Macaca fascicularis: one gene and its partner. The protein of the gene in region 1 interacts with the protein of each later gene in a pairwise test. Links are inferred from orthologs where the notes say so. Each region holds a gene or a part of one and is shown in the gene's direction. Other genes may lie near its edges.

The links.
Region 2: the proteins of TRIM63 (region 1) and SQSTM1 interact in a two-hybrid assay, tested with the Homo sapiens proteins (2 studies listed by BioGRID and IntAct). The link is inferred for Macaca fascicularis from reciprocal best matches to the Homo sapiens genes TRIM63 and SQSTM1.

What each region holds. Positions count from the first base shown.
Region 1 is NC_088375.1:209,073,212-209,078,654, forward strand, and holds part of TRIM63 (E3 ubiquitin-protein ligase TRIM63), read left to right. Parts: intron 1-2,515; 5' UTR 2,516-2,824; coding exon 2,825-2,983; intron 2,984-3,866; coding exon 3,867-4,039; intron 4,040-5,443. UniProt on the Homo sapiens protein: E3 ubiquitin ligase. Mediates the ubiquitination and subsequent proteasomal degradation of CKM, GMEB1 and HIBADH.
Region 2 is NC_088380.1:186,727,510-186,731,859, forward strand, and holds the end of SQSTM1 (sequestosome-1), read left to right. Parts: intron 1-13; coding exon 14-228; intron 229-567; coding exon 568-763; intron 764-1,680; coding exon 1,681-1,838; 3' UTR 1,839-2,545; downstream 2,546-4,350. Other genes in the region: MRNIP (MRN complex-interacting protein), read right to left, coding at 2,679-3,182. UniProt on the Homo sapiens protein: Molecular adapter required for selective macroautophagy (aggrephagy) by acting as a bridge between polyubiquitinated proteins and autophagosomes.

The sequences.
Region 1 (5,443 bases):
TTGAGACGGAGTCTCGCTCTGTCGCCCAGGCTTGGAGTGCACTGGCCGGATCTCAGCTCACTGCAAGCTCCGCCTCCCAGGTTCACGCCATTCTCCTGCCTCAGCCTCCCAAGTAGCTGGGACTACAGGCGCCCGCCACCTCGCCTGGCTAGTTTTTTGTATTTTTTTAGTAGAGACGGGGTTTCACAGTGTTAGCCAGGATAGTCTCGATCTCCTGACCTCGTGATCCGCCTGTCTCGGCCTCCCAAAGTGCTGGGATTACAGGCTTGAGCCACCGTGCCCGGCCAGCCCTTTGTTTTTAAGGCCTCTTCCTTTTTCTGTAACTTGTTCCTCTTCTTCTTCTCCCATTTCCTCTCTTCCAAGGTTTGCTTCTCCGCTCTATGTCTTGTCTCATTTTTCCCGTCATTCCTCTTTCTTGAAATCCTTCATACCTCTCCTGAGTATTCCATGGCCTCTTAGACTTATTTTGGGACCTGATACCATTGCTCCATATCTCTGCCTCATCACCTTGGACCGGATGACCCCACGGTCCTTTCATTAGATGCTACCTTAAAAACAGCTACTGGAGGCCAGGCACAGTGGCTCACAGCTGTAATCCCAGCACTTTGGGAGGTCGAGGCAGTCAGATTGCCTGAGGTCAGGAGTTGGAGACCGGCCTGGCTAACATGGTAAAAACCCATCTCTATTAAAAATACAAAAATTAGTCGGGTGTGGTGACATACGCCTGTAGTCCCAGCTACTTAGGAGGCTGAGTCAGGAGACTCGCTTCAACCTGGGAAGCGGAGGTTGCAGTGAGCTGAGATGGCACGACTGCACTCCAGCATGGGCAACAGAGTGAAACTCTGTCTCGAAAAAACAAAACAAAACAAAACAAAACAGCCACTGGAACTGCTCTAATGACTTCTACCTGCCAATGTGGAAGATGTCCTAAGAAATATGGAGAAAAGTTAAAATGTGTGCAGAGAGCTGAGGGAAGCCTTCTAAGTGTCCAGGCAGGGCTTTGTGGCACCGCATGAGGGGTTTTCCTTTCTTTTCTTTTTTTTGAGACAGAGTCTCACTCTGTCACCAGGCTGGAGTGCAGTGGCGCGATCTCCGCTCACTGTAACCTCCACTTCCTGGGTTCAAACAATTCTCCTGCCTCAGCCTCCCGAGTAGCTGGGATGACAGGTGTGTGCCATCACACCCAGCTAATTTTTGTATTTTTAGTAGAGACAGGGTTTCGCCATGTTGGCCAGGCTGGTCTCAAACTCCTGACCTCAGGCAATCCGACTGCCCACTTCAGCCTCCCAAAGTGCTGGGATTATAGGCGTGAGCCACCGCACCCGGCAGGTTTTTCCTTTCTATCTGCCTTCCTCGGCTGTGAGTTTCTTGCGGCAGGGAAACAGATCACTCATCCATTTGTCATGTTGTGATGTATACTAGTTGCCTGATGTATACTAGTACTCAGAAACATGTCTGATGAATGAATAAAATGTCTGGCTTTGCCACTTACTTTCTTCTTCTTTTTTTTTTTTTTTTTGTTTTGTTTTGTTTTGAGATGGAGTTTCTCTCTTGTCGCCCAGGCTGGAGTGCAGTGGCGCCATCTCAGCTCACTGCAATCTCTGCCTCTCGGGTTCAAGTGATTCTCCTGCTTCAGCCTCCCGAGTAGCTGAAATTACAGGCTCGCACCACCACACCCAGCTAAGTTTTGTATTTTTAGTAGAGATGGGGTTTCACCATGTTGGCCAGGCTAGTCTTGAACTGTTGACCTCGTGATCCACCTGCCTCAGCCTCCCAAAGTGCTGGGATTACAGGTGTGAGACGCCACACCCGGCTGTCACTTACTTTCTAACTGACTTTGAATATAATCCTTTTCTTCTCTAGTCCCATTTCAAAATCTATAAGATGAGGGGACTGGACTGCGTTTCAAGGGAGGCCTTTCAGCACTGAGTGAAATAAGTGGCCAAGGGATGGAGGATGGGCTGGCTGGGGTGGGGGTCTCCACTGTCTCCAGCAAAATGCTGTGCTGAGGTCTGAGGCAGAGGGATGAGCTCAGAGAGAGGGGCTGCCTGACCCTTCCATCTAGGAGCTGCTCAGGACTCCAGAAGAGGGGATGGAATTGATTTAGGTCAGTGAGGGGTTGAGCGGGGCTGGGAGGGGGTTGGGGTCGGGAGGCTTCAACCTGGGAGGCAGAGGTTGTAGTGAGCAGAGATCGCACCACTGCACGATCCTTTCTATCTCCCTTCCTGGGCTGTGAGTTTCTCAGGGCAGGGAAACAAATCACTCATCCATCTGTCACATTGTGATGTATATTAGTTACCTGATGTACACCAGTACTCAGAAAAATGTTCGACATTTTCATCATAGCATTGGCTATTAACCCTTTGAATCCCAGTGGCTCACTTGCTGGGTCCTATCCCTGACCCGCTAGCCTGGTGCCGGGGGGAGACCAATTTCTGGAGGAAGCTCTGGGTACCCAGTCTTCCCCTAAGCCTGCCTCTGAACAGGCTGTTCTTGTTTATGACCCCCGTCCCAGAAGAACAGCGATTGCTCATCCCTGCATGTGATTCGAGAGGGCCAGTCTTTCAGTCCTGGAGGAAACTCAAGCCCCACCAGCCGCTTGGCATCGGAATGCTCAGCTGGTCCCCTCCTGGAGCTCATGTGACCAAGATCTAGCTATAAATATCAGAGGGGCCTCAGACCAAGACAGAATTCGGGCACCAGGAGAAGGAAGCCAACAGGATCCGACCTGGTGTTTCGTGACAAAGGCAAGACTCCCCAGGTCTACTTAGAGCAAAGTCAGTAGAGGAGGCAGCTAGGCGCGGCTCTCACTCCTGCCCACAGAATGGATTATAAGTCGAGCCTGATCCAGGATGGGAACCCCATGGAGAACCTGGAGAAGCAGCTGATCTGCCCTATTTGCCTGGAGATGTTTACCAAGCCAGTGGTCATCTTGCCGTGCCAGCACAACCTGTGCCGGAAGTGTGCCAATGACATCTTCCAGGTCAGTGCCGGGTGCAGCCTCATCCGGGGGTCCCAGGTGGCTACTCGGCTTTCCGAATGAAGCCCTTCTTCTCCCTTAGCCTTCTAACTCTTTTCCCTTGGAAGTGAACCCCTGCAGAGGCCTCTAGACAGGGCTGAGAGGGGATGGGAGGCAGCTCTAGCTGTTGCAGTTCTTCTCCATGACGCGTTTCCCCTCCCCACCCTGCCCACAGCTCCCCCACCCCTGCCCTGAGCACTGCTGTTGACTCTCCAATCAAGAGTCAAATGCCTCAAGTGATAAGCGGGGAAGGCAGGGACAGGAGAGAGAAACCAGACCCCTGGGGCTGGAGCCAGGTCCTGGTGGCAAGAGGCCCAGAGCTTTGGGAGGAGGGTGTCGGGGAGGCAGTGGGCAGTAGAGGCGTCTTCCCTTTCGAGGCTGTTCCCTACAATATGGGGACAGAAGCGGCTCCAAATCCCCAAGAAAGGAAGGGGGTAGGTGTCCTGGCTGGGAGGCAGGATGCGAGGTTCCCCAGGGACACTTTACAAAATGTTCTTTCACGATATTATCTTTAAAGTAGCAGCCTTAGGAGCTTGCTCTCATTGTAATACCCATTTCATAAGTGGACAAACTGAGGCTTAGAGAGATAAGGTTGCTTGCCCAAAATCACTCAGAGAATTAACATGACTTGAACCCAGGTCTCCTGCCTCCCCATCCTGACGATTGCTTAGCTGCATCTCAGGTGCTCTGTATGTGAGGACTGGTTCTCATCGCAGCCTGCGGAGCTCCAGGTCATTAGGTTTGACTGGGGTGGTTGGGGCAGGCAGAGGAAAGGATAAGAGGAGATTAGAAAGGGGAAGGGCTGAGGAGGGAGCCCAGGCCTCACCTTGACCTTTGCCACCTGCAGGCTGCAAATCCCTACTGGACCGGCCGGGGCAGCTCGGTATCCATGTCTGGAGGCCGTTTCCGCTGCCCCACCTGCCGCCACGAGGTGATCATGGATCGTCATGGAGTGTACGGCCTGCAGAGGAACCTGCTGGTGGAGAACATCATTGACATCTACAAACAGGAGTGCTCCAGGTCGGTTCTCATGCCTGCTGGGGGCCCATCCTCCTTCTCAGCCATGCTGTGCCCAGCTCCCCCAAGCTCCTTCCCCTTCCTTCATCTGCTCAGGATCCAGGCCTCTAGCTGGACTAGCTACACGAGCCAGTTCAGAGACAGGATTGGAGACCCATACACCCCAACTCGGCGCTCAGGATCACTCAGCGGATGGGAAGGGGTCCAGACATTAGGCTGCCCTTCCAGGCGATACCAAGACAGAGACTGGGGGAAAGATGAGATGTGAGAGGGAGAGAAAGGCCCTGGGGCCAGCTAAGTGGCTCCAGTCAGCAGAGAAAATGCCCAGTGAGAAACAGCCAGGTTGTCTATAAGGATAGCAACAGCTACTTTCCTGTGTGCCACGAGGAACTGTCAGGCACGGGGAATGCTTCATCTTAGTACCTTCCGATAACTCTATGAATCAGGCATGACTTTATTATCCTCATTTCACAGGTGAGGAAACTGCCCAAGAGGTGAAGTCAATTAGCTAAGGTTTTCCAGCTGGAAAGTGAAAGAGCTGGGAGCTGGCCCAGTTGATCTAGCTCTGAGTCTCCCTGCTAATAAAATAGCAGCTCATTCAGAGGCAGAATGTGTAACTGGTGGAGGTTGTGCAGGGTTAGCCTTAAACTGGGGAGAGAGGGCCAGGTGTGGTGGCTCACGCTCGTAATCCCAACACTCTGGGAGGCCAAGGTGGGATGATTGTTTGAGGCCAGGAGTTCAAGACCAGTCAGGGCAACATAGAGAGACCCTGTTTCTACAAAGGTTAAAAACTAGCTGGGCGTGGTGGGGCATGCCTGCAGTCCCAGCTCTTCAGGAGAATTGTTGAGCCAGGGAGGTCAAGGTTGCACAGCCATGATCGTGCTACTGCACTCCAGCCTGGGTGACAGAGTGAGACTATGCCTCAAACAAACAGACAAAAAAACTGGGAGGCCAGGTGCAGTGGCTCATGCCTGTAACCCCAGCACTTTGGGAGGCCAAGGTGGGTGGATCACTTGAGGTCAGGAGTTGGAGACCAGCCTGGCCAACATGGTGAAATCCCATCTCTACTAAAAATACAAAAATTAGCCGGTCGTGGTGGCGCATGCCTGTCATCCCAGCTACTTAGGAGGCTGAGGCAGGAGAATTGCTTGAACCAGGGAGACAGAGGTTGCAGTGAGCAGAGATCGTGCCACTACACTCCAGCCTGGGTGACAGAGTGAGACTCCATTTAAACACACACACACACACACACACACACACACACACACACACACACACACCCACCACAAAAATTTGGGAGAGACACAGCTACAGGAAAGATTTTTACAAACCAGGACATCCTGGTAAGACTCCAGGAGTGCTGACTCACAGCCTTTAAGGTCTAAAACCTTCACCAAGCATCTGCCT
Region 2 (4,350 bases), on another chromosome or scaffold:
CCTTGGCCTCTAGGCATTGAAGTGGATATTGACGTGGAGCACGGCGGGAAAAGAAGCCGCCTGACCCCTGCCTCTCCAGAGAGTTCCAGCACAGAGGAGAAGAACAGCTCACAGCCAAGCAGCTGCTGCTCTGACCCCAGCAAGCCGGGTGGGAATGTTGAGGGCGCCACGCAGTCTCTGGCAGAGCAGATGAGAAAGATCGCCTTGGAGTCCGAGGGGCGGCCTGAGGCAAGCCTGTGCCCCTCCCACCACCTGGGACCTCGGGCAGCCTAGCGATTTGTAGCTGCACCTCCGCCTCATCCTCAGCACTTATGCAGCCACTTATGAAACCTGAGGGAGCTGCTGCTGCTGCAGTGATGTCTGTGCCATTAAAGTCACTCTGGGAACCTGCTAGAACTTTGTAGTTACTTGGTCTTTGTGAGTGGCTCACTGATCCCCGTAGCCCCCTGCAGCCTTAAACACATGTGTGCGTGCACGCTCCCCGACTGTTTGCCAGGAGTCAGTGCCATGGTCAGGCTTGGCCTGTTGCGCGTGTCTCTTGTATGCTCATGGTGAGTTCTGTTTCAGGAACAGATGGAGTCTGATAACTGCTCAGGAGGAGACGATGACTGGACCCATTTGTCTTCAAAAGAAGTGGACCCGTCCACAGGTGAACTCCAGTCCCTACAGATGCCAGAATCCGAAGGGCCAAGCTCTCTGGACCCCTCCCAGGAGGGACCCACAGGGCTGAAGGAAGCTGCCTTGTACCCGCATCTCCCACCAGGCAAGTGAACCAAGAGTTCTGTGTTCAGTCCTACCTTTCCCTTCAGAGCATCCTGCCCCCCGATTCCAGCGACACAAACAGGATGGGACGTTCTCCACTGCAGGGCTTGTCTGTAGGTGTGGGAGGTTAGGAGTTGGTTTTGTCCTCTTACGTCTACCCTGAGCAGCAGTGAGTAAGCTCTGCTAATGCAGGAGTTCTAAAAATGTTTTTCTTTAAGCAAACTCCAGAGCCAGGAATATTAATTGTAGGAGTTTCTAAAACTTAACATGCAGACCAGGAATTAAGGTAGGTGTGACACAGAGAGGGGGCAGCACTGGGTGTGTCCCTACTACTCACACTGGGCTCAGACCTCTTCAGTGTCTCCTCAGGGAGTGCTGGTCTGAGTGGGGGTCATAGCCAAGATCCCTGGAAGAGCCAGGCAGAAGCCACCGTTGAAGTGGATGGTGTGGAAGGCAGCGGTGGGGGGTGGGGACAGCTGACAGAGACTCCTCATTGTCACTGCAGCCGTGTGTGTGTAAACCAAGGTCTGTGCACAACCTGCTGTGCGCTGCCAGTGTGTCTTCTCTGCCTTAGGGCAGGGGATGGCGAGCTATGGCCTATGGGCCAAGAGTAGTTCTTGTATTTTTCAATCAAAAGATGTGACAGTTAGAGGAAATGCGTATTTCAGTGTCCAGCGATAGTTTTGTTTACATACCACCTGGCTGCCTTGTGTCACAGTGGCAGAGTTGAACAGTGTGAAAAAGACTGGTTGGCCCTTTACAGGGAAAGCAGGTCCACTGTGGCCTGTGAGGGCCAGAGCTCTGGGCACTCGGACACTGGCAGGCCTTGGTCCCGCTGGCCAAGGCAGGAGGGTGTGTGTTTCGGGTCACTCACAGGGCTCAGCATCACTCCTCATGGCTTCCTTACTGTTTTGGCAGAGGCTGACCCGCGGCTGATTGAGTCCCTCTCCCAGATGCTGTCCATGGGCTTCTCTGACGAAGGCGGCTGGCTCACCAGGCTCCTGCAGACCAAGAATTACGACATCGGGGCGGCTCTGGACACCATCCAGTATTCAAAGCACTCCCCGCCATTGTGACCGCTTTTACCCACCTCTTCTGTGTCCCCCTCTTCTGTCTCGTAGCTGTTAAGCTAGTGTAGAATTGCAGGTCTCTGTACGGGCCAGTTTCTCTGCCGCCTTCCAGGATCAGGGGATCAGGGGTTAGGGTGGAAGAAGCCATTTAGGGCAGCAAAACAAGTGACATGAGGGGAGGGTCCCCGTGTGTGTGATGTCTGAGAAGCAAGACTGGTCTCCTGGGTGCTCTGGTTCCCTGCAGCAGGGCTGGGCCTGCGAGACCTGAGGCTCACCGCAGTGCTCCTGGCCCCTCCCTGCAGGGGCCACATTAGCAGCCCAGACATAGCTTGCCTAATGGCCTTCCACTTTCTCTTTTTAAATGACTCGGAGGTCCCTGACATTTAGTTGATTTTCTGCTAGAGACCTGGTACGCTCTGATTTTAGATAAAGGATGCCTAGGTGTTGTTGGCGGGTAAGCAGGGGAGGCGGCTGTCCTGGCACAGGCAGTGGGGAGGCCGGGGCAGCCAGTGTGGTGGGCTTCCTGCTGGGACTGAGAAGGCTCATGCAGGGCATCCGTAATGTTGGTTTCGCTGAGAGCTGCCTCCTGGTCTCTCCACCACTGTAGTTCTCTCATTGCCAAACCATCAGCTGCTTTTAAAATAAGATCTCTTTGTAGCCATCCTGTTACGTTTGTAAACGATCTAATTAAATGGCATCAGCACTTTAACCAATGACATTTGCATAGAGAGAAATGATCTGTTTGACAGTAAGTTTATTGGTGGTTCTTATACAGTATCTTTAAAAGTGCCTTAGGGAACCCTGTCCCTCCTAACAAGTGTATCTCGATTAATAATAACCTGCCAGTCACAGATCATCATCAAAGTCTTCACCAGTTGTAAAGAGGTCACACAGTCGTGGGAGTTGGGGATTCTGTGGCTCCTGGACCAGGGGCCCACCCTCTGCCCAGGGAGTCCTTGCGTCCCATGAGGTCTTCCCGCAGGGCCTCTCAGGCCCGGATGTGGTGGGGTGTGTGGCCCGAGGAAGCTGGACAGCGTCAGTGGGCCTGCTGAGGCCTTCCCTTGAGGCCTGTGCTCTGGGGGTCCCGGGGGTCCCCTGCTTAGCCTGTGCTGGAGCAGCTGGCCCAGGATCCCTCTGAAGAGGCGTTGGCTGCTCTCTGTCCACATGTGAACTGTTTCTAGGTGACAGGACAAATCGCGCCCATTTAGAGGAGGTGGCGGTGACCTGCTGGGCAGGACTCCATAGCTCCTTCCCAGGACCCCTCGGCTCCCTGGCGCCGCAGTCGGCAGCGTTCTCCCGGAGGCAGGGGCTGCTGCCTTGCTTCACCTTCCATGTCAAGCCAGCCTGTCCCTGAAAGAGAAGATGGCCATGCCCTCCATTTGTAAGAACAATGCCAGGGCCCAGCAGGACCACGAGCCCTGCCTGGGCCCTGCCTGGGCCTCTGGTTCTGACACTTTCTGCTGGAAGCCGTCAGGCTGGGACAGGCTTTGACTTTGAGAGTTAGCAAGACAAAGCAAATAAATGCCTTCCACCTCACCCCAAACCATCTGCTAAATTGCATGACCAGGCTTTCCAAAAACAAGACACGTCATCTGGTGATCCATCTCCTGGGGACCTTAGAATCGGGTCACCAGTGCCTACAAAGGAGGTTTGAGCAGGGAGGGCCTAGAGACGTCTGGAAAGGGGTGGGCTGGCTCCATCCTGCCATCTCCCACCTGGGAGCAGCTCTCCAGAGCCTGCCGGGTTCTGCAGCTGCACAGGTGGCAGCACCGAGCTCCCAGTGGCTTCTCTCACCCCAGGAACCAAAGATGCTCTGAAAGTTGGGTGTAGGCCGGGTGCAGTGGCTCACGCCTGTAATCCCAGCACTTTAGGAGGCTGAGGCGGGCAGATCACCTGAGGCCAGGGGTTCGAGACCAACCTGGTCAACAAAATGAAACCCTATCACTACTAAAAATACAAAAATTAACCAGGCATGGTGGCACATGCCTGTAATCTCAGCTACTCAGGAGGCTGAGGCAGGAGAATCACTTGAACCTGGGAGGCAGAGGTTGCAGTGAGCCGAGATCGTGCCATTCCACTCCAGCCTGGGCAACTGAGTGAGACTCTGTCTCCCCCCCCCCAAAAAAAAAAAAAGAAAAAAAAAAAAAGAAACTTGGGTTGTAGACTGGGAGCAGTGGCTCATGCCTGAATCCCAGCACTTTGGAAAGCCGAGGCAGACTGGAATGCTCAAGCAGATATGCTTGAGTCCAGGAGTTTGAGACCAGCTTGGGAAACATGATGAAACCCCACCTCTACAAAAAATTAGCCAAGCGTGGTGGTGAGTGCCTGTGATCCCAGCTACTCGGGAAGATCACTTCAGCCCGGGAGGTGGAGGCTGCTATGAGCTGAGATGGCACCACTGCACTCCAGCCTGGGTGACAGAGTGACACCCTGTCTCAAAAACAGAAGGTTGGGGGTGGTGGTTCATGCCTGTAATCCCAGTACTTTGGGAGGCCGAGGCGGGTGGATCACTTGAGGT